3 linked regions of the Alligator mississippiensis genome follow. Each later gene encodes a partner of the first gene's protein in a complex. Links are inferred from orthologs where the notes say so. Each region holds a gene or a part of one and is shown in the gene's direction. Other genes may lie near its edges.

Region 1 (7,326 bases):
TAACCCGAGGGGCGCCTTGGTGAATAAAACCTCACCAATTCCCTTCTGTGCCCCCGTGATGAACTTATAGGCAGCCACAAGGTCGCCTCTCAACCTTCTCTTGCAGGGGCTGAAGAGGTCCAGGTGCCCCAGTCTCTCCTCGCAGGGCTTGGTCTGCAGGCCCTTAACCATACGAGTGGCCCTTCTCTGGACCCTCTCCAGGTTATCCATATCCCTCTTGAAGTGCGGCGCCCAGAATTGCACGCAGTACTCCAACTGCGGTCTGACCAGCGCCCGATAGAGGGGAAGTATCACCTCCTTGGATCTGTTCGTCATGCATCTGCTGATGCACGATAAAGTGCCATTGGCTTTTCTGATGGCTTCGTCACACTGCCGACTCATGTTCATCTTGGAGTCCACTAGGACTCCACGATCCCTTTCCACTTCCGTGCCACCCAGCAGGTCATTCCCTAGGGGACATGTCCCATGTCCTTCGCTACTAGCATGCCCACCCCAAATCTTGGTATCATCAGCAAATTTAAATAGGCTGCTTTTCACCCCATTGTCCAAGTCACTAATAAAGAAACTGAACAGCGCAGGCCCAGAATAGCTATTACACACCATTCTCGATTTTCTGGCTCTTTATCCATTGGTTTTTCGTTACATAACAATGGTCCTCACAAAAACGAACCCCCAGCCTATCAAAGTCTGAAGTTGGTTGATACTTACCCACTTGTTGGTTATTTGACCGTTAACTTCAGATTACAGTACTGATTTTTACCTTTGCCAATGGCAAAATATAAAACAAAGCCTAATTTTTTTAAGTTATGGGTCACAGACAGAAGTATGTTTCCTTTACAATGAAAGCTACTCCCCCAACTACTTTTAAATGGTTAAGCCAATTTTGATCTGATAATTAACAAGAAGAAATGAAAGACTAAGGTGTTGCGTAGATAGAGAAAAATCCCAGATTTCTACAACTTTCAAACATTCCCCAACCGGAGAAGACAAAAGCTGTTTATTTGAGATATAGATATCTATAGATAGATAGATATAGATATACCTCTCTCTCTCTCTCTCTCTCTCTCTCTCTCTCTATATATATATATATATATATATATATATATATATATATGATGCCCTCTGCTGGCCAAATACTGAGGTGATAAGTGGGCAGCCAAACCTGTTGATTTTTGTGAATGAAATCAATAAGTGAAGCCAGGAGCAAACCATTTAAGCCAACTCTTTTCTTGCATGGCATATTACTTTTCTGAGTCAACTTTAAAGAGGTTTTAATCGATACTCTTAAGTCAAATAGTATGTAGACTTCTGGATACTAGAAAACTGTTAGAAATTCAAATTACTGTCACATCACATTTTGGTTAGAAATACCCAGTATCTATGCAAAGAGTTGTAAATGAGAACAACATCAGTCACCATAAAACTACATCAATTCCTAAAACTGAAATAGGAAAAAAAAAAAAAAACCCATTCACGCCTCTGCTTGAAGGCCAGATTCAGGCCAAGGACACTCGCTTTGTTGAAGCAATGGGAAAACGCACGTTAGAAGCCATCAGCCGGTCCCATCTCCCTCAAACCAGGTTTTAAGAGAGCAATTGAATTCAAGATATTTCACACCTGCTTTGACAACAGCCTTTTCCAAGCCACTATTTCCACCGCAGGTTTTTTTAAACACGTTTCTTGCCTCGTAACTCACGTGTCATAGTTTGCATTCGGCTTCAACATCGAAATGCAGCCGCTCCCCTCTCCCACACTGAGGGCACACAAGATGGGGAGCGGGGATAGACTCACCTCTCCGGCCAGGCCCCGAGGAGCATCCGCCGCGCCCAAGCGAGGCCTGCACGAATAGAAAAACGAAACACAACCCTACATGAGCCTCAAAACCACCACCCAGCGTCTTCCCCAACCTCCCCTCACTCACCCGCCATGGCCGCCGCCATTGTGGCCGCCTCGCTTTGACCGCGCATGCGCGGAACCCAGCGCATGCGCAGAGTGGCACCCGCGCATGCGCCGAACCAACGGCGGGGAGGTCAAAGGTCGTTTTGCGACCCTTGACAGCAGCGCCGGGCAACGGCAGAGCCGCGGGCACGCGATGGCGGCGGAGCGGCTCCTGCCCGCCTCGCCCAACTGGTACCTCAGCCGCTGCAGCGACGCGAGCGCCGGCGCGCGGCTCTTCGGCTTCGCGGCCCGGAACAGCGTCTACCTGCTGCGGGTCGGCGCCCAGCCCGCCTTCCACGGTACCAACCCCGCGATCCCGGCCCCGGGGCAGCACGAGGGAGCATCCTGCCCCGCAACAGGCGCTGCTTCCCCCCCGCCACGTGTTAAGCCTCCATCAGAGGCCCCAGGGGCGCGTTTATACCCGTAACCGTAAAAAAAACCCAAACCTTTAAATACCATTTTAAAGCCGTCAGTCTTACACACGTGCCCGTTAAAGCGTCGCGTGAGGGGACGTGCCGACGCGCCGCTGAGGAGCAAAACAGGCCGCGCAGCATCGAGCCTGGCTCAAAAAAAAAGCAGTGTTTTTGCTACCGCGTGTTCGGGCAGCCTCGTGTGCGTGTGCTTTATTTAGCACGTGGGCGTTTGAGCTAAAGCTCGTTCAGCCGTCTTTAGATACAGCGTCCCCGCTGCCATTTTGAACCAAAGGGGATGCTGATGCACAAGATGCTCCGGGAGCTTTATTTAGAGCCCCTCTAATTAAAGCGTTTCCCCCCCCCCCCCCCCCCGACGGTGGGGGGCACGTGTATAAACGCTCCGAGGTTCTAAGTTTAATGCGCATTAGGAAAGACGGACTAATGCATGTGTAGACACGCCCTCGGTGTTGGCCGCAGCCCAGGCTGGGGATCTGTGGCCGTGCTCCTGCTGGGACTCGACCCGGAGGGTCCTGGCTAGCGGATCCTTTCCCTCCACTCGGTGTCAGACCAGTGCTGCGTTGGGGGCAGGGAGGAATCCCCCCCCCCCCCCCCAGTCAGATTGGTATGAACTATGCAGGATTTTGCTTTCCCCTGTAGTCGGCCTTTACCTGAGATCTTTTAACCATGTGTTAACAGCCTTTTATAGGAGCAGGACGTTGGCTGCTTTCCCTGTGGCAGGTTCAGGTGTGATGTCCATGTTGTGTCCGGGTCGATGGTAGTTTCACTAAGAGGTTAGATAGGTGGGGAACGGTTTGGATAGAGCCGATCCTGCCTCGAGCAGGGGTTGGACTAGATGTGACCCCTAGAGCTCCCTTGCAGCCCCACGGCTCTAGGATGCTGTGCGCTGCGATTCACAGATTAACCGCGGAGATGGCAGATGGGAATCCGTCGTGTTAAAAGCGTCCTGCCCTGCTCTGCGCTTCTGCGGTTCCTTGGAACAAAAGAATCGCCCCGTTGTTTTTCAGGAGTCGAAAAGCAAATGAAAGCCAAGAGCTGGCATTTTCTAACAGAGTCTTTGAGCCTAACAAGGGGTCTGAGAACCGCTGATCCAGAGTGGTCTACCCTGTTATACCCTCCCTCGCATGCACCATCCTCTGTTAATTCAGCAAGTACCTTGTGAGAAGCACATGAAAAAGGAAGGTTCAAGGGTGTCAACGGTGGCATCCCTGACTTTTCTGTTTCATAGCTATTAATGGATCTCATGCATGAAATTGTCCTGTCCCTTTTCACCCTGGCTGAACTATCTGCCTCTACAATGTCCTGTGGCAGGGAGTTCCACTAATTAACTGTCCACTGCATAAGAAAGCATTTTCTCTTATTAGTTTTTTGCCTGTCTCCTGCTCATTTCAGTGGCTGTCCCCTTATTTTAGTATTCCGGGAGTTGGTGAATAACTGTTTCCTATTCATTTTGTCCACACTTTTGTTTTCTGTGGAGTGTGGGACATGCAGGGATGAGTGTGTGATTCTCCTGCTTCCAGCCACTTTTACCCCAGTTGTTTGTTAGTGGATGTTGCAATGCATAATATTGAATCTTTTGTATCGGGTAGTTTGTAGAAAGAGTACTCGTTCAGAGATGGGGAAAGGACAGCAGTTTCTCACCAAGAATTCGGTCTGTGAATGTTTCCTCTTTTTGTATTTCAAACCTAGGAGAGCTCATCGGTCATACAGAAAGGGTTTCTGGATTTACCTTTTGTCATTTCCCTGATCAGACCAACCTCTGCGCGAGCAGCTCAGATGATGGAACCGTGAAAATCTGGGATACTCAGACTCTGTCTCTTGTAACTGAGCATACGCTCCATCAGGTATAGTAGCCAATAACCAGGTCCGTGTGGCTGTAGGAAAACCACTAGAACAAGCGTTTTCCCAAAGCTTTTATTAGCTAAACAGGGGGCAGAAATACATGCTGGGACCAAATAAGAAGATCCATGTAGGGATCTACACCAGTTTCATTAAACTAATTTTAAAATCCATGTCAGTTAAATCAGTGAAGGTTTTCTGTTTGTTGGTTGGTTGGTTTGGGAAAAAACATTTAGTGTGGAGGACATCCTGGTAAGCAATTGTGTGTGGATCCCTTTGCAATCTTAATTTCCTGGCAGATCTTTGACAGCTACAGCAGTGACTTTCCCGATCTTGCTCCGTATGTAAACATTAATGCCTTTAGTTATCTTAACCGAGGATAAAACTCCTACCACTTTAGCTGCCTCATTTAGTATTGTTTCACGGTTCATCTCTGCCTAATATGGGGCTAGAGACAAGACTTTGTCATGCCCTGGTTAATCTGCATTTTCAGAATACAATCTCAGCCTTGCATTGGTCACCCCTTGTGAAAGATCTGGTTGTGTCTGGTGATGAGAGAGGCATCATCGTTTGTTATTGGCATAACAGAAATGACAGCCAACAGTTCTTCCCTGAGCCTAGGACCATCTTCTGCCTCACGTGTTCCCCTCACCAGGAGAATCTGGTAGCTATTGGGTAAGTGTTAATTATGTTGCTCCCTTTTCTTATGCTGCAAGGTAGATGGTGTGTGTGTGTTTTCATTGCAGCATAATTTTAAGGCTATTCTTTCAGAAATGGTGGTGGTGGTTTAGGAATTTGGCTAGTTCTCGTTGGCTAGAGTGGCAGGAGGGAAAAAGAAGAACCTAAATGAACAACCTACTTATCGGCTTTCTGTTGTATAATGGAGAAGTCTTGTAGTAACCCAGAAATGCCGGATCTCACAGACTCACTGGTCTTAGAAAGTTTATAGCAGTATGTGAATCTGGGCTGACTGTCAGGCTACAACTCATGTAAGTGACTGGGTGTTGGGAACAGAGCTGGAGGTAACAAGATAACTGTGTTTGCTGACTCTGTGGCTTTGACCTAAACAGTTCCACAAACCGATGGTTTGTATGGTTTTCTTTTTGTGCCACTCCCCATAGCTTCATGAGGCTTTTGCTGCCTACTGCAGTTCCAGCCCTCTTGATGCACAGCACCTGTTCCTGCTTTATGCTGGATCCATTGTGATGGATACTTGGCAATCTAAGACAAGATTATGTGGAGGGAAAGCTAACACAGGACAGGGGAGGGCATGAAATTAATTTTAGGAAAAGAAATTAAATCTTTCTGAACAAAAGATCCCTTGCTTTTTAAGTTCCCCAAGGTCAGTAGTGTTGATCCTTGGGGGATCATTGTCTCGTATGTTGCATTACTCCTGGAGGTATGTTAGTTTACACCAGCTGAGGATCTGACCCATGCATGCAAGAGGCAGTATGTCCTAGTGCATAGAGCATTGTGGAACTCCATGTACCTGGGATCTTCCCAACTTGGCCTCTAGCTTCATGGATGACCTTGGTCATGTCTCTCTCCATGCGTAAGATGGGGATAGTGATGCTTACCTTCTTGGCAAAGCACTTTGCTAACAAAAGTCACTATATGCCAGTTCAGTATCATTGTTATGAGACTCTTAAGCATTTTTTCATCACTGTCTAACTGCTTGTTTTTAGTTACAAGGATGGCATGGTGGTTATAATTGACATCAGCAGGAAAAAAGAAATTGTTCATCGCCTGAGAGGTCATGATGATGAAATACACTCCTTGGCATGGTGTCCTGTGCCCAATGAAGAAGGATTATATAGTTGGCAAGAAGAGCTTCAAGGTACACACAAACTATTAGGGGACTCCGAGTAATTCCTTGTAACCAAATCAGTTCCTTGTTTCATTAATAAAAATAGGAGTCTGAGGCAGTCTGGGATTCAGTCTGATTTAAAATAAACTCAGTCTGCTTTACAGAAAAATCTGTTCTTTGGGCAGCATAGCTGAACTTCATCATCTTTGCTTTTTATTTGTGCTTTGTATTTCCCAAGTGTTTTACCATTGTTTTAACACCATTTGATATTTCTCTTGAAAGCAGGTGAGGTTCCAAATGGGGAGCTAACACAGGAGGCAGCTGTAGCAAAAGGTTGTTACCTGGCTTCAGGAAGCAAAGATCAGACCATCCGGATCTGGAGCTGTGCTAGAGGCAGAGGTGAGCCAAAACATTTCTCTAAGGCAATAGTGGTACTATGCATGGACGGTATGTCTTAAGCATGCTTTCTGTGTAGTAGCCCGGTGACTTAGCAATGCAGACGGCATTCTGGGATGACTGAACAGATGTGGCCATATGCAAGACATAAGATAATTATTTCATTCTCTTCGTTGCTGTTGAGACTTCCATCAGAGTAGTACACCCACTTTTGGGCAGTGTAGTTAAAGAAAAATGTAGTCATATTGGCAAGAATCCAAAGGAGGGCAGCAAGAATGGTAAGGACTTTAGAAAACAAGACTTGGGAGGAAAAGTTGAGAGAATTGGATTTGTTTAGTTTTAAAAAGGGAAGACTGATGAAGGACATTATAGCAAGTTTTTCCATACTGGAAGACTTATTCAAATAGTGATCAGTTATTTGCTGGAGTAGAGAAGAAATCAGCTTAATTTTACAGCAAAGGTGATTTAGGTTACATATTAGGAAGAACTTTCTGGGAAGGTAATGACGGACTCAAACAGGTTACTTAGATCATGGAATCTTCTTCATGGGAGGCTTTAAGAACAGGTTAAGAAAATATCTGTCAGGGATACTGTAGGTATATTTATCTGGCCTCAGCCTAGGAGGATGGAGTAACTGATCTCTTAAGGTCCCTTCCAGTACTGCATTTATGTGATTTAAGAGCAGGAGCACTAGAGATTGCATTTAAGGCTTTGTGTTACAGGGCATATTATCCTCTGTGAGGATTGACATATGCTCAGTGGCCACATTGTATGAATCTCTGCTGGTTCTCTAGGGGTGATTACTCTGAAGTTGCCCTCTGTGAAGAGAAGAAGTGGGGCAGTTGATCCTGCTGTTAAAGAGCGTATTTGGCTGACTGTTCACTGGCCAAGTGACCATCCCATGGAGCTCATGTC
Region 2 (7,326 bases), on another chromosome or scaffold:
CAAAAGAAATCCAACATTTTGCTGACATCCATGACATTCACGGCTTCTTCACTGCTACCAAAGCTGTCTATGGCCCTAGCACTCAAGGCTTTAATCCTCTAAGATCAAAGGATGGAACAACACTCCTGAAGGACAGCAAATCCATCAATGCTCACTGGAAAGAACATTTCCAGGACCTTCTGAATCATGACTCAACTGTCGATGAAGATAAGATCACCAACTTTCCACAAAAAACAATCAGAGAAGACCTTGGTTTGCTGCCTACCCTGGCAAAGGTCAGGAGTTCTATCAGGAAAATGAAGAATAACAAGGCAGCTGGTGCTGATGGAATACCTGCAGAGATTTTCAAAGGAGGAGGAAAACAACTTACATGTCAGCTTCATGTCCTCATCCTTAAAATCTGGAATGAGGAAGAAATCCCAGCCGACCTAAGGGATGCCTTGATTGTTACTATGGGACAGAGCTGATTGCGGAAACTATCGAGGCATCTCACTGTTGGCTACTGCTGGGGAAGTCATCGTCCATATCTTCACTAACTGCCTTCTCCCACTTGCGGAAGAAATCCTTCTAGAATCTCAAAGTGGCTTCAGACTATTGTGAGGATCTGCGGACATGATCTTTACAGCTAGTCAAACCCAGGAGAAGTGTCGTGAGCAAACCAAAAGTGGTTTGTAAATTCCCTTTGAGGATCAGGCCTGAGAGACTGGAGACATGTAGTTGGGTGTTCTTGTCTTTGATAGATTTTTGGTGTGCACTCATTCTGATGTACAGACTTGGTGTCTCCTACGTACTTTCCATCAGGCCTGATGGAGATATGTATTGTGAAGATATCTCCATTATGGAGATATTGTTGACAGGTGTTACATGTCTTATCATGGCATGTCTGGATCCATTCAGTGTGTTTTGGGCTGTAGGAAGCTGGCTTCTGGTGATGAGGTTAGTGAGGTTCAGTGCTTGTTTGAATTTACAACCCACTTTTCACAGATGAGCCTATGAATTGCACTTCATCAACCTCCTGGGTACAGAAACTCATGGACTCAATATAGACAGTGGAATTTTGACACACTACAACCTGACTGACATCTGACTCCCCAGGTACCTCTCCATTTTTACCTGCTACATCCTCCTTCCACCCCCCCATCCCAGCCTTTCCCTCACCCCCTGATGCTTCCATTTCCATTTTCACTGACTGGCTCTCTTGCCTGCATTGCATGCCAGCCTCTGGCTTCTTTACTATTCCTTCTATCCAGGAAGAGCACACACACCAACCGCAGGTGTTTCTTCAGCCTGATGAAGGGTTTTTTAACCTGAAAGCTTGCTAAGATATATTTCTCCAAATATTCAGTCGGTCTACTAAAAGATACCAGATTGACCCAAAGAACCGTGTCTGCCAGTGCCATGTCTTTAGACCAACCCCCTTAGCACCTGTCCCTGGTTAGCTGACCAGGAGGCAGGGCCCTGGGCACATCTAAGCCCCAGGGCTAGGGCTGGCAGGGAGAGTGCTCTGGCATCTGCGGGAGAAGAAGCTCCTGCAGGAGAAGAAAGAAATGCTCTGTCGCAGTTTGGCTGCCTGAGATGCTAGTGCTACTGTGTTGCTTACTTACCTGTTGTTATTTAAAGTGGTGGACCGAAATGAGGCTGTAGGGGAGGAAGAGACTTCATTGGGGCACACTACCATGTCATGTAGGATGACACCAGCACCAGCACCAGTGAGGGCGCACCTTAACACACACACCAAGTGACACATCACAAGTTTGCCTGAGGTGCAGTTTCCCAGAAACCCCTACACCTGTCTCCTTGAAACCTGGCAGGCTTCATGGTCTCATAAGGGGCTACCATCCCTGAGGTTTTCACCCCCCGCCCTTCAGTTACAAGTGACACAAATTTTGCTCTGAACAGTTTGAGGTGCAGTTTCCCCCAAACCCCTGCACTTATCTCCTTGAAACTTGACATGCTTTGTGGCCTCAGCAGGGGCTATGTGCTGTGCTGTCTTCATTCAAATTAGGCGAAAAATGATACTTATAGGAATTTTTTGTGAGTCCCCATTATAGCCGACGGGCGAAACGTTGAAGTGCGTCAGCGTTGAACAGTGAAACAGTTTTGACAAAATGAAACAGAACCGCGCTTGAAAGGAAACGTCTAAATGAAACACTGTCCCTTTGAAAAGGCGAAACGAAACTGAAACAAAAAGGTGCTGTTTTGCACAGCCCTAATAGACGCCCACCAGAAGTGGTGCAAGCACCTACTCCGGATAGCTTTGAGAAATGCCTGGACGCCTATCTTACAGGGGTCACCTGACCCCAACTGACTTCCTGCCCCTGGGGCAGGGGGCTGGACCCGATGATCCGGCAAGGTTCCTTCCAGCCCTAATGTCTATGAAATCTAGGTAAAAGTGCCCAGTCTGCCGGGGGAGGTCGGCGGACCACAGGCTAAAAAGAGAGAGCGTGAAGGGAGGGCGCCTGTTTCTCAGCCTGGTTAGATTCATGGCGCCCCTCCCTCAGAAAATGCCAGGTTGCGTTCAGGGGTGTGTGTTGTAGCCACGCTAGTCTAAGGACACAGGCAGACAAGGCTCTCTGGGTAAATGTGGTCTCTTCATTTTAGTTGGCCAGATTTACCCAACGAATCGTCGGTTTATTTTCACGTTTTGACAGAAAAGCAGCAGAGGTGGGCGGGCGGCCGCCTGCGGCACAGGTTTCAGAACAGCATGGCCTGCAGGCTGCAGCTTCGGAGCCCTGTTTGCAAGTCGAACAGCGTCCAACTACGGCCGCGTCAGCCCCCGCCCCAGGGGAGGGGCTAGTGCGCGAGGCCCCGCCCACTATCGAGCCCTTGTCTCGGGCAGGGAAACGCGGGTAGGGTAGGAGGGAGCGGTCACGTGACGGAAGTTGAGTCGTCACGTGGAGCGGGGTTGGGGAGTCCGCATTTTCCGGTCTCCCCTACAGAGACGCACTTCCGCCGGCGGCGACTTCCTCTTTGTCACTTCCGCCACCTCCCCGTTTCCTGCCCGGCAGTGGGGGGCTGACGACGCGTGGCCTGTCCTTGCGAGCGCGCGCGGTCTCCCCTTCCCGCCGCCGCCCGCTCTCCCGCTCGCCGCCGCCATGGCGATGCGGCAGACCCCACTGACGTGTTCGGGCCACACGCGGCCCGTGGTGGACTTGGCCTTCAGCGGAATCACCCCCTACGGCTACTTCCTCATCAGCGCCTGCAAAGGTGAGGGCTGGAGGCGGGGGCGGTGTTCTTCCGGGCCTGGGGGGGCGCGGCTTGTCTCGTCCTTCCCTCCCCGCTCGCGACCAGGCCGCGGGGCGGGGGGGGGGGGGGGGTGGTGTCTCCTTTCTCCTTTCTTCCTTCTCCCCGTGTCCTGTACGAGGCATGGGTAGGGGGTCAGGGTCAACATGGTGGAGGGAAGGCCAGGCCGTAGCTGCCCCATTGGTTAGGGCAATGGGAGGACGTGGGCGGCTGCTTTCCACTTGGGCCCCAGAGGCCCAGGTCCTGCTTGTGAGGAAAGTTCTGTTTCTGTTCTGGATTTGGATCTGATGGGAGGACTGCAGAGGTGCCTGCCCCACCCGTGCCTGCCTTCAGAATAAAGTGTCTGTGGCTTGACACCACTGCCGGGATTGCAGTGCATTCATTGCAGCAAATGGCCTCTTGTCCCTGATTTTTCCCTGGGTACATCTTTCTTCTGTATCTTTTTAGGATACTATCTTTTGCACATACCCATTGCCTTGACCAAATAATTGTCTTCCTTAAGAGGACCCTCTATGTCAGTGGTCACCAACCAGTGGATCTCAATCCACTGGTTGATCTTGGAGGCTTTTGGAGCCAATCCGAGGCGGGGGGGGGGGGGGGGGGGCTGAGTGCCTGTGTGCATGCATGTGCGTGCCCTAGCCCAGCAGGTCAATCCATGGGGGAGGGAAGGGGTGGGAGCTAGATTGAGGCCCCTGAAGTGAGGGACAGTGCCGCAGAGGCAGGAGCAGCAGTAAGTTGAGTGTAGTGGGTGAGTTCTTTAGATCTGTTAGTCATTGTTAAGTACATGTATTTTATCTGATTGTTAATCTTTCTTTTTCCCAAGATGGCAAACCTATGCTACGCCAAGGTGACACAGGAGACTGGATTGGAACATTTATGGGTCATAAAGGTGCCGTATGGGGTGCCACTTTGAACAAGGATGCCACTAAAGCAGCTACAGCAGCTGCAGATTTTACTGCGTAAGTAATTAACCATGTCTAAAATTTGACTGTATTATGATTTCAGTTTGCAATCCTAGAATTTTGTAATTTTTTTAAAATGCAGTTTCTGCATTAAATATATTTGCCTTTCTTACACACCTGGCCGATTTACAGAGACTTGTATTAAAAATTATAGAAAGTGAGGTTGTTGATATTTGTGGTAATACAGTAATGGTAGTTAAACTGTAGAGATGGCTTAACGGATTACTTTTATGGACATAGACTAATAACATAATTGTCTACCAACAACAATTTTAGATAGCCTCTAATCTTTTGTGTTGCAGTTATATCGGATGCTAAAGTCTTCTAGAAGTATGGGGGGTTTTTTGTTCTTTTAACTGCCATTTCTCACTTTTTTCCCATTTGACTTCTTCTGGTACCTACTTTTTTCCCATTTGACTTCTTCTGGTACCTACTGTCACTTAATTTTTCTCAAGTTAAATTATTTTCTTGTAAACTTGCTAAATATTTACATGCATGCTTAATGTTTTTGTATACACAATTTTCTTAACTTTGTTCAGACTACTCAGAGTATGTGTATAATAGTTCATAAGAATGTGAGTGCAGATCATGTACAAGTGATTCATAATTTTAGGCAGACATTTTTCAAACCTACTACTAAAGGGAGAAGGGCTGTTTATTTTGGAGTGGTACAAAGGAATTAAAGAAATGGAAATTCTAAGGCAGACAAGGTTCTTTGAGTGAATTTGATATGTTTTATTAGACCAGCTTAAATAGTTGGAAAACAATTATTAAGCAAGCTTTCAGGTTCAAAAACCCTTTGTCTGGATAAGGAAGTTTCAGCAGTTGGTGTGTACACTTCCTTGTCTGCCTATGTCCTTAGACCAACACGGCTACAACCTACACCCCTGGAAATTCTGATGTATTTGTTCTTAAACACTAAGCATTTCTACTGTTGGGCTTTACGTGTTGCCAGAGTGTAGTAGTTATGTATAACCACTACATTATGTTCTCAGGAAAATCTTGCTGCAACCTGAATAGTTAGTTTAGTTGCAATGCACTTAGTAGTAACTATACAACTGTATTTGTACTGTCTTTCAGCAAAGTATGGGATGCTGTTTCAGGAGATGAACTAATGACATTAGCTCACAAGCACATTGTGAAATGTGTGGATTTTACTGAGGTACTGTTCTCTTCCCTTTCAAACCCCCACTTTTTCCCCTAGGGAGTGAAACTCTTGGATATGGTTAATTACTGCGGCCCTTGTTTCCTTATGCTTATTTTCAATGGAAGGTTCATGTTAACTGCTCTGTGTTTCGAAGGGATAAATTAAATATAACATATGCTGTAGTAGATTGCCTGCAAAATCATCCTGAGTTTTAACTGTAACCCACATTTTCAGTTGAGAAACCTAACTCTAGTTTTCTGCTATTTTAGGACAGTAATTATCTGTTGACTGGTGGACAAGATAAATTGTTGCGTATTTATGACTTGAGCAAGCCAGAAGCAGGTAAGTCTGCTTTTTAAATCTTCCCACTTAAAGTTCTTTTTTTTTAATTGTTATACAACTGGCTTTGAAAATGATCAGATCTGCTGAATTTCATAAATTACAAATATTGGGAGTCTTGTTTTTCCCAGTTAGTCATGGAATTGAGACAAATTCCTATAATAATAGGACATGCTGGAAATCTCTAGCAGCCTTCGGGTTTCACTGCTCTTAAATCCTATGCTCTTTTCAATATTAGTTTGATTTGAAGGGTTTTATTTTAGTTGTCAAAACTTCTGAAATTATCTATTCCAGGTATTTGCTTGGCTTCTGTTTACATCTTGCAGTTATGTGTTTGGTAACTGTTACATTGATTATCATAAGGTACTTTTGAATTGCCCACAGTATTTTTAGATTACATTGGCCTTGTCACTCTGCGCAGTAAAGTTGCACTGGTTCAACTTAAGGTTTTTCAGTAGCTCAAACCTGTGTCCACTCTTTCTGTTCAAGGGGCTCTAATTTCAGTTTTAATTACACGTGTTCATAGTGGACTTGAGCTAAATCAAATAAGTTGCTCTTAACACAAAAGCAAATGTCCATGCATAGTTTATACAAATCTAACTAATTCTGTTACTGAACCTAAACCAGTGCAATTTCTCTAAGGGTATAGGAATAGCCTTAACGTTTAAAATGCTTCAAAGTGCAGCTGCAACTACATGGAGGGAGTGCGAATGGAGCTGAAGTCAATGAAGGCTGTCCTATCCACCTCACACTTGCTCTCCTGGAGTGCTTCCCAATTCTGCTGCCCCACCAGAGGTGGGGAAGGAGTGCAGTTATGGGGCTGGAGAGTAAGAATCCTGGCTCTGGTGCAGAGCGCTCACAAAAGCGCTCACTGACACAATCCTGATCTCCCCCCTGCCCTTCCTGTGGGAATGTGGGAGTAAGGGGACAATCACTGCTGGAGGAACCAGGGGGTTTCTTGTCATATTTTCTAGACCGTGTATATGTAACAGGAATAATTTAATTTTTAAGTGCTCCTAAATAGTTCTTGCTTCCCTCAGGGTTATATTTGGAGGCTTCCAAAGGATGTGTATATCTATTTATACCGTAAGTTTAAAAAAAAAAAAAAAAAAAGAAAACTCTAGTTTTCTCTCACCCTTACATATTAAATTCAGGATAAAAATTCCAAATACTGTGACAGTATCTTTCATCTTTACTCTCAAGGCTGGTTGTTGATTTATTTTTTTTTTTTTCTCCCCACTATTAATGATTAGCTACATGCACTTATAAATAGTGATTTGAGTCATGAGATTCTTTCCTTTTTCTTTTGTTTTATGTACTAAAATACTTGCTTTCATCTTCAGAACCTCAGGTGGTTAGTGGACATAATTCAGGCCTTAAAAAGGCTTTCTGGAGCAGTGATGACAAACAGATCCTTTCAGCTGATGATAAAACTGTCCGGTAGGAAACAGTAACTTTCATACTTATGAAATATTTATTTTATTTCATCATGTAATCAGGTTGCAGTGCAGCTAATTTAAATTTAAACCCAAGTTATGCATTTTAATGATCAGGTGCTTTTTTGGTGTATTTGGAGTATATAAACATAGCTGGTAAAAAAAAAAAAAATCCCTGATTATTGCTTGCATATGTGGT
Region 3 (7,326 bases), on another chromosome or scaffold:
CATTGTCATGTACATTGTCTCTGAAAGTTTGAAAATGTACGCCAGGTAATAATGAACAATTGCATTAATCAACTATTAGTGGCCAAAACATTTTTACACCCATTTATGGTACTTCAGCTGTACTTACAGTCATATTTCTACGCAACCAATCATTTCTCATCTGAACCAAAAACAGGACATACCCAAATGGAAGGACTGTGCCACCCATTCTAATGCCATCATCAGGTGGAAGGGATATTGAGCTGTGGGTTATAAAGAATATCTGGGCTCCTTATCCTGCAACACAGAATGGAACCCCAAATGTTATCTCCCTATTATTTGGTTATATCCTGTACAGAGGACAAACTATACACACAGCTGTGGGATGACTAATATCTGCTTGATAAATGATGTTTCAGCAAGTGAAAGACTCCCTCAGTACTGCAGGTTCTGAGAATGCTCAAGTACTATAGTGATTGTCCAAGAAAGGGTGTAAAGCAGAAAGAGATGTAACTCTGGGCATGCCTGTAGATGGCATGCAAAAGGAGACAAATGAGATAATAATAGAAAGAGAGGAAGGAAAAAACCAGGAGAGTACCATTGTGAAATCCCAGTGAGGATAACAGGTGTAAAATCATTTCGTTATTAACATGATTAAAAAAACTAGATTTCATTTTGATACGGACAAAATCCTGCATTACTTGCATCTTAAACTTCCTTCCGAGAAGGTGTCACAGATAATATAATGATAGAGAACACGCAGAGAAGCAAAAGTACTAAGATGAATGGATAGGTAGAAAAATAAAATGGAGATCTGGGTTCTAAACAGGGAGTACTACTAAGATAATGACATCTTTCTGTTACCCCTTGTATTCAATATGCAGTTACACTTCACTTATTTCCATGTTAGATGTATATATTACATTTAAAGTTTTTGGCAAATATTCCCAGGTTGCAACTTACCTTCCCATTGGGAAATTTCTCCTTTATGTTTCCTAGGCAGTTGATAAAAAGATAGAGTTTTCATCTTTGACAGTTTTCTCTTCTTCACCTGCTGAATCATGTTTAGCTCCACCAGATGTTCAATGAACTATATTATTAAGTCTTGTCAGCAGTGATCTTGATATCTTTAGAAAACCACTTTTGTTGCTTGCAACAGTTTAAAAGTGGCTAATTGAATGTATGTCATTCAACTTTAAAAATCAAAATAAAAAAATCATTTTAACGTAATTTATATTTACAATTGTATCATAATGCTGCATTTGGTTTTTGTTTTCTTTTTTATAATTCCTTTCTTCAGAACATATACATTTATAATTCCTAACATCTGAATATTTTCAGTATATCCATTTACAGATTGATAGAGTTCAGGCTTTTCTTGGCTACCATGTCAAATTCTGCAGAAATGCAATTGTAGTTTTAATTAAGCAGGTCTTCTTTCAAGTGATGACGACCACACTTTTTGCACACAGAAATAGGAAGTTACATCCGGTTCCAGAAGAAAGCAGATTGTTACACATAAACGGTTTCAGGAAACACCTTAAAAGCAAATAAAAATTAAATGGAGAGGAAAGTTCTAGGGTAGTGTTTGCTCAAAACTGCTCAGAAAATATAGTCCTTCAGAAATAACCAATACTACTTTAAAAAATGGAGATAAGAGGCTAGTCTAGTGGTTTGGGTTACCCCTTGATCTTTACCATGCATGCAGAACATCCAGATTGTGGATAGCACAGCACAGCTCAGTCTATATCAAAATTATTGTAGAAAGAAAACACAAAGAATATGTGTTAGCAGTGACTTCTGAGTTAGCAACTTAATAAATAACAGTTTAAACTACACTGCCTACAGATTTACACTGGTGGGGACTTTCAGTTAGACTTTGGCCTGGCATTACTGGTGCTTTTCATATAGGATCTAATTAAGCCTGTATAACTACAGAATATGCAATCAAATTTAATATCCATGCACTGGCCTTTTGGGATGAAGTCAATAGGATATCTGTACCACCGACTGAATCAAGCACCATGTTCTTGTATATTTTTATCCATCACTCAGTGCTTTATACAGGAAACAAGTATTATTATCCCCATGTTATATGATGGGTAGGGAATATTTCATATTCTATATAATAGTTAACATTTTTCTTAAAAGAGTTATTTGCTTTTCATTAAGAGAGTTTGTATGTATCCTCTTTCAGGTGAAATAAGGAAATACATAGAAGTGAGATGAAAAAGAAATAAAATAACTGATTTTGAAGTCCTTGATAGTTATTTTTCTGAGGTATACCCCAAACTGACAGTGTAATCTATCTATACAAAAGTCCAATTCACATCAAACTCATAATTACATTTATCTGGGCATGTCTACACATGTATTTTAATGCACAGTAGCCTATTTTACCGTGCGTTAAAGCAGTGTATAAAAAACAGCGCTATTATGCTAATACACAGTAAAATAAGCTACTGTGCATTAAGTGGCACCTAAAAACATGAGCTTGTGCTACTGCACATTAAGGCAGCCTAATGCACATTTAGTACCTTACATTGGAGGTACTAAATTTAATGCGCATTAGAAAAAGTGTATTAATGCACATGTAGACAGACACGCTCTCTGTCTACTTTTACAGAAGCCAAAGGGAACTCCCAAATGGGACAAATTATGAACACAGTACATTTACTTATGGAAAACTTCTGTTGACTGAAATGGAGCAGGATTTTGTTCTTAAGTACTAGACCTGAAAGAACCACTTGCTAATGCTGAGCTTTATGCACAGGTCCCTAGAATTGTTATTAAAGACTCAGTGGCTTGTTGAAGATTTCATTATTTGGTAGTTATAGATTAATATCACACAACTGCTTGTGCACAATGGTGTTTAATATTTCTTTGTCTAGAACAAAGGCTACCATTTCAAGAAGCTGCATTGAGCATTGTAGAGACCATGATGATTTAAGAGCTTCCTCCTATCCATCCTCAACCACAATCCAACTTTCATTATGGAAGCCCCAAAGATGATGAAAAGATGAAATAAGAATGATTTCTTTAGTAAATATTTTAGCTGACTTTCTGTCATTCATTACTATTCATCCTAGTAGCAAACTGACTGGGTAGATCTGTACAGAACAGGGGTAAAGTGTCAGAAAGGATAGGTGGTCCAGTAACTTGGAGCTACCTTAAGGACTGGGAGACCTACTTTCAAGTCCCCACTCCACTCAACAGCATCTCAGTGCTGCAGTTTCCAATCTGTGAAATGGGGTAACTCCAGACCCCAATGGACAACTCTGCACAGAGTCCTCTTTAACTTCAGAGAGGTCCCTGCAATTATAGGTGAGTCCTCACATGGAACCAAGTGGTAACAGATTAGCAGGGAAAGAATCCATCCCACTTCACCAGAACCCTGCAGGTTCTGCTCTTCTAGTAACATCTGACTTTTATCATTCAAATGAGCACATATGAGTTGGTGTAACTACTGGGAAGTTTAATGAGGTGCTGTGGTATTTTATTAGAGCAACTCAAATAGTTGGAAAAATTCTTCTTTGCAAGCTTTCAGGTACACTTCAGGCAGACACTTCCTCTGCCTGACAAAGGGTATTTGTACTCGAAAGCTTGTAAAGAAGAATGTTTCCATTCACGTTGACCTAATAAAAGATATGTGGTATTTTTAAATCACTCAGGAGCTGACTGCACCATCGTTCACCTCTAGTAATCCTCCTCCCAGGCAGAGTCCCGCTGCGACTAGATAGTGTCATGTTTCTGGGGCCAGTGTGCCCACGCAGCGCGTGGGAGGCCGACCGGAGAGCCCTGACTGAGCTCCCCTCCCTCCGCGCTCCTGCGCTGCAGGGCGCAGGGCCCCGAGCTCGCGCGACAGCCGCGTTGCGGGAAGACCCCGGCACGCCAGGCTGCCCTGCCCACAGCCCCCTGCACGACAGAAGGCGCGGGCCGGTGGTGGGCAACAAGCAGCAGCACCTCCCCCGCGGCCCGGCCGGGGGAGATCGCCAGTAAGTCCCCAGAACGGCCGCGGCGGGCGCTGCAGCTCTAGCCCCAAGCACCGCCCCTTCCCCCGCCAAGGGGCGTCACCACCTTCGAGGCAGAGCCCAGGGGGCGGGGCGGGGCGTACACACCTATACGTTATCTTCACTTTGCGAGTCGCGACTGAGTGACGTCACCGAGCGCGCCCGCCGCTGGTGGCTAGGGGTGGTGTTTGCTATTGTTCGGTGAGTTGCGGGTGGATGACATCATTGAGCGCGCCCGTCCTGGCGGGCATGGAGGCAGGGATGGAGGAGTTGATGCCGCGGCTGCTGCCAGTATGGGACTGCGAGCTCGCCGAGGACTTCGATCCCACCGCGCCCCCGCGGACGCCGCAGGAGTATCTCAAGCGGGTGCAGTAAGTGGGAGCGGGGAGCAGGAGCCGCCCCCCGCTCTGGGGCGAGCGGAGCGGACGGAGACGGGGCCGGGGCTGGGACCGCCCGTCCCACTGCACGTTCTAGCGCCGCCCGCCTCCGCGGGAAGCAGCTCCCCCGAGCTCTGCAGCTGGGCTGGCTCGGAGGGACCCCATGGGAGACTGAAGCACCGGCTTGACCACCGGGAGCCCTTTGCCTTGCCCCGGTGCTGCTGCACCGCCTAGCCTCGTGTCAGTGCCCTGCGGGATGCAGGAGCTAGTGCACTGCATACTGTAGGACCCACTGGGGTCTTTGCCGCAAATCTTCTGAGAGGGAGATGCTCTGGGCTGCATGTCTGGGCAGCACCATCTCACCCTGCTCACTCTCCTCTGGAGCCCCCAAGTGCCACTGTAGTGCCAATAACTGCTGAGTTTGGTGCCAGTGAATGTAACTGCTCTTTCCTTGTTTAAGATCTTGACATTTTTTGTTAACACCAACTTAAATAGAAACTTGCTTGCACACTCCGACACACAATCCGCCCCTCTTCCCCCCCCCCCCCCCCCAACATGACTCAGCCATGTTCATCTGTGTATCAGGGTAGTTTCTCTTAGGACTCTTTGACCCCATGCTGCACATCATGATCTGTTTTCCACCCCCACAGTATTATGTTGGAATTCATAGATGTTGGGGTCAGAAGGGACCTCAATAGATCATCGAGTCAGACCCCCTGCATAAGCAGGAAAGAGCGCTGGGTCTAGACAACCCCAGCTAGATACTCATCTAACCTCCTCTTGAGTAACATGGGAGCATTTGGAGTCTTTATCCAGTTTACTTTAATCAGAAGGATTAAAATGCAATCTTACTAGCTGTATATGTCAATAGGTAATAGCCTTCACTGCTGCCTCCAAAGGAAAGGTGGTCCTGTGGCTAAGGCAGAGAACTCCTGGAGTTGGGGATTTGGGATTCTGCTGACTGCCACAGCTTGGCTCATTTAAAACAAATTAACCTCTGCTCTCATTTTCTCTCTATAAAATGAGGGTATATACCTACTGTGGCCTAAATAGCAAGCTTAAAAGATGCCTGCATTTGTTTCTATTCCGTTTGTTTGTTTCTGTTAAAACCTTGCTGCATACCCTCTCCTAGAAGCATTCTCTCTTCTTTTCATTTTTTAATACATTCTCATACACAACTTAATTGTGCAAGTGCCTCATATTTTGATCTGGTCCCTATGCAAATATTACAACTATTTGCAAACTAATTATGTAATTCTAAGGAATGCAGCAGAGAGGGATTACAAATGTGTGGCGTTTTTTTCTTTTTAGGATTGAAGCTTCACAATGCCCAGATGTTGTTGTGGCACAGATAGACCCCAAAAAGCTGAGAAAGAAGCAGACCGTGAATATTTCAGTAAGTTTGTAGAGATATGTTCTTAAGAGACTTATAGAAAACACAGACTAAAATAAATGAAATGAGAATTCTAGGATAGAAAAATATTTGTATTAAAATACCTGGAAGTCTCAAGTAAATTTTAAAATATACTGTCCCTATATCTTAAAAGAATTTGGACAAGTAAATGGAATCTCCAGCCCTGCAGTCCAAATTCTGAATTGGTGGAAAAACTACAGTCTCTGTAAAACTCAGTTGTTCTAATGTATACCATATTTTCTTCATTCTAATATGAGGGTTCCCCCCACTTCATATAGAGGGAATCCCCTTGTCTTAGAAGTGAATACAAGGACAGAGAGCAGGCAGCTACAGAAGCTAAGACTTCAGCCCAGGCGTGGCCAGAATACAACCCATAGGCTGGATCTGGTCCACCAAGCATTTTATCCAGGTCGTGGCGGGTCACTCAGACCCATCTGGCTGAGGTGCAGGTGGCAGCCTAGGCTTTGGTGCGTGTGGATGGTCCCATCGTCCCCAGGCACACAGTGGGGCTGGGGCAGCGTGGCAGCCAGACTGTTTCCTGGCATCCTTGTTGGTGGCTGCTCTTTCTGGCTGCTACTGCCAATGTTGCCACTGCCACTGGATCCAGCCCTGCTGCCTGGGCATCCTGGTCCATCTACCCCGCACCTATCATTTGGGGGTGCTGGGGCAGGTGGGGTTTCCATAGACACTGGCCTGGGACCTCCATGGACAGGACACACTAGGCTGGGCGGATGGAATGGGGCTGTGGGCGTGCAAGAAGCAGTGTCTAAAGCTAGGATGGGTGGGTGGGGCCAGGATTGCAGGGCAGTAACAGCACAGGGCTGAGGCCTGGGCAGAGCCATGATGTCGAGAGCAGATTGCGGCTCTGCCCCAGGACCCGGCCCTGTGCTGTCACCACCCTGCAGTCCCATTCCATCTGCCCGGCCTAGTGCACCCTGTCTGGGGCTCCCAGTCCAGTCTCCATGGAGACCCTGTCTGTCCACTGTGTCTGGTACCCCCAGCAGTGAGTGCCCCCCTTATTCGTGCTTTGTGCATGCTGTAGCCTGGGGCACTGAGCACAGCCCCTTCCTGGTCACATAGAAGTGGCACATTACCAGCATGGCTGGTCTTACAGGACCAGACTGTGGTTGTGCTCAATGCCTCAGGCTAGAATGGGGACGGAGCCTGCTGGCCTGGAGCAGAGGCTGGAGGGGAAGTAGGGAGCAAAGGCTGGCAGAGGCAGGCAGGAGGCAGAGATGGTAGAGGACAAGTTTCTTGACCTTCCCATACTACATGCCCTCCTCCTGCCTGCTCCCCTACAGCAGTGGGGGGATGAATGAAAGATGAATCTCCAATAATTAGATCCTATACTTGGAAAATTATAACCAATTACATTCAGAGTCACTGCAGACTCCAGTAAATATGGTAACTTTTCCACAGGTTTGTTGTATTTCTATACACTAAATGTAACTGCCAGCTGAAGGTATATTTTATTTGTACCTTCAGTTGGCAGTTACATTTGGTGTATAGAAATACAACAAAATTGTGGAAATGTTACCATATTTAC

The links.
Region 2: GEMIN5 (region 1) and STRAP share a complex: the UniProt entries of both Homo sapiens proteins name them as parts of the SMN-Sm complex. The link is inferred for Alligator mississippiensis from reciprocal best matches to the Homo sapiens genes GEMIN5 and STRAP.
Region 3: GEMIN5 (region 1) and GEMIN2 share a complex: the UniProt entries of both Homo sapiens proteins name them as parts of the SMN-Sm complex. The link is inferred for Alligator mississippiensis from reciprocal best matches to the Homo sapiens genes GEMIN5 and GEMIN2.

What each region holds. Positions count from the first base shown.
Region 1 is NC_081832.1:77,078,699-77,086,024, reverse strand, and holds the start of GEMIN5 (gem-associated protein 5), read left to right. Parts: upstream 1-2,056; 5' UTR 2,057-2,092; coding exon 2,093-2,237; intron 2,238-4,058; coding exon 4,059-4,213; intron 4,214-4,701; coding exon 4,702-4,883; intron 4,884-5,893; coding exon 5,894-6,045; intron 6,046-6,297; coding exon 6,298-6,414; intron 6,415-7,205; coding exon 7,206-7,326. Other genes in the region: MRPL22 (large ribosomal subunit protein uL22m), read right to left, coding at 1,792-1,837, 1,922-1,967. UniProt on the Homo sapiens protein: The SMN complex catalyzes the assembly of small nuclear ribonucleoproteins (snRNPs), the building blocks of the spliceosome, and thereby plays an important role in the splicing of cellular pre-mRNAs.
Region 2 is NC_081827.1:120,441,765-120,449,090, forward strand, and holds the start of STRAP (serine-threonine kinase receptor-associated protein), read left to right. Parts: upstream 1-2,962; 5' UTR 2,963-3,095; coding exon 3,096-3,207; intron 3,208-4,066; coding exon 4,067-4,202; intron 4,203-5,285; coding exon 5,286-5,367; intron 5,368-5,621; coding exon 5,622-5,694; intron 5,695-7,034; coding exon 7,035-7,131; intron 7,132-7,326. UniProt on the Homo sapiens protein: The SMN complex catalyzes the assembly of small nuclear ribonucleoproteins (snRNPs), the building blocks of the spliceosome, and thereby plays an important role in the splicing of cellular pre-mRNAs.
Region 3 is NC_081825.1:260,111,864-260,119,189, forward strand, and holds the start of GEMIN2 (gem-associated protein 2), read left to right. Parts: upstream 1-3,708; 5' UTR 3,709-3,723; coding exon 3,724-3,974; intron 3,975-4,152; exon of another isoform or gene 4,153-4,205; coding exon of another isoform or gene 4,206-4,360; intron 4,361-5,677; coding exon 5,678-5,762; intron 5,763-7,326. UniProt on the Homo sapiens protein: The SMN complex catalyzes the assembly of small nuclear ribonucleoproteins (snRNPs), the building blocks of the spliceosome, and thereby plays an important role in the splicing of cellular pre-mRNAs.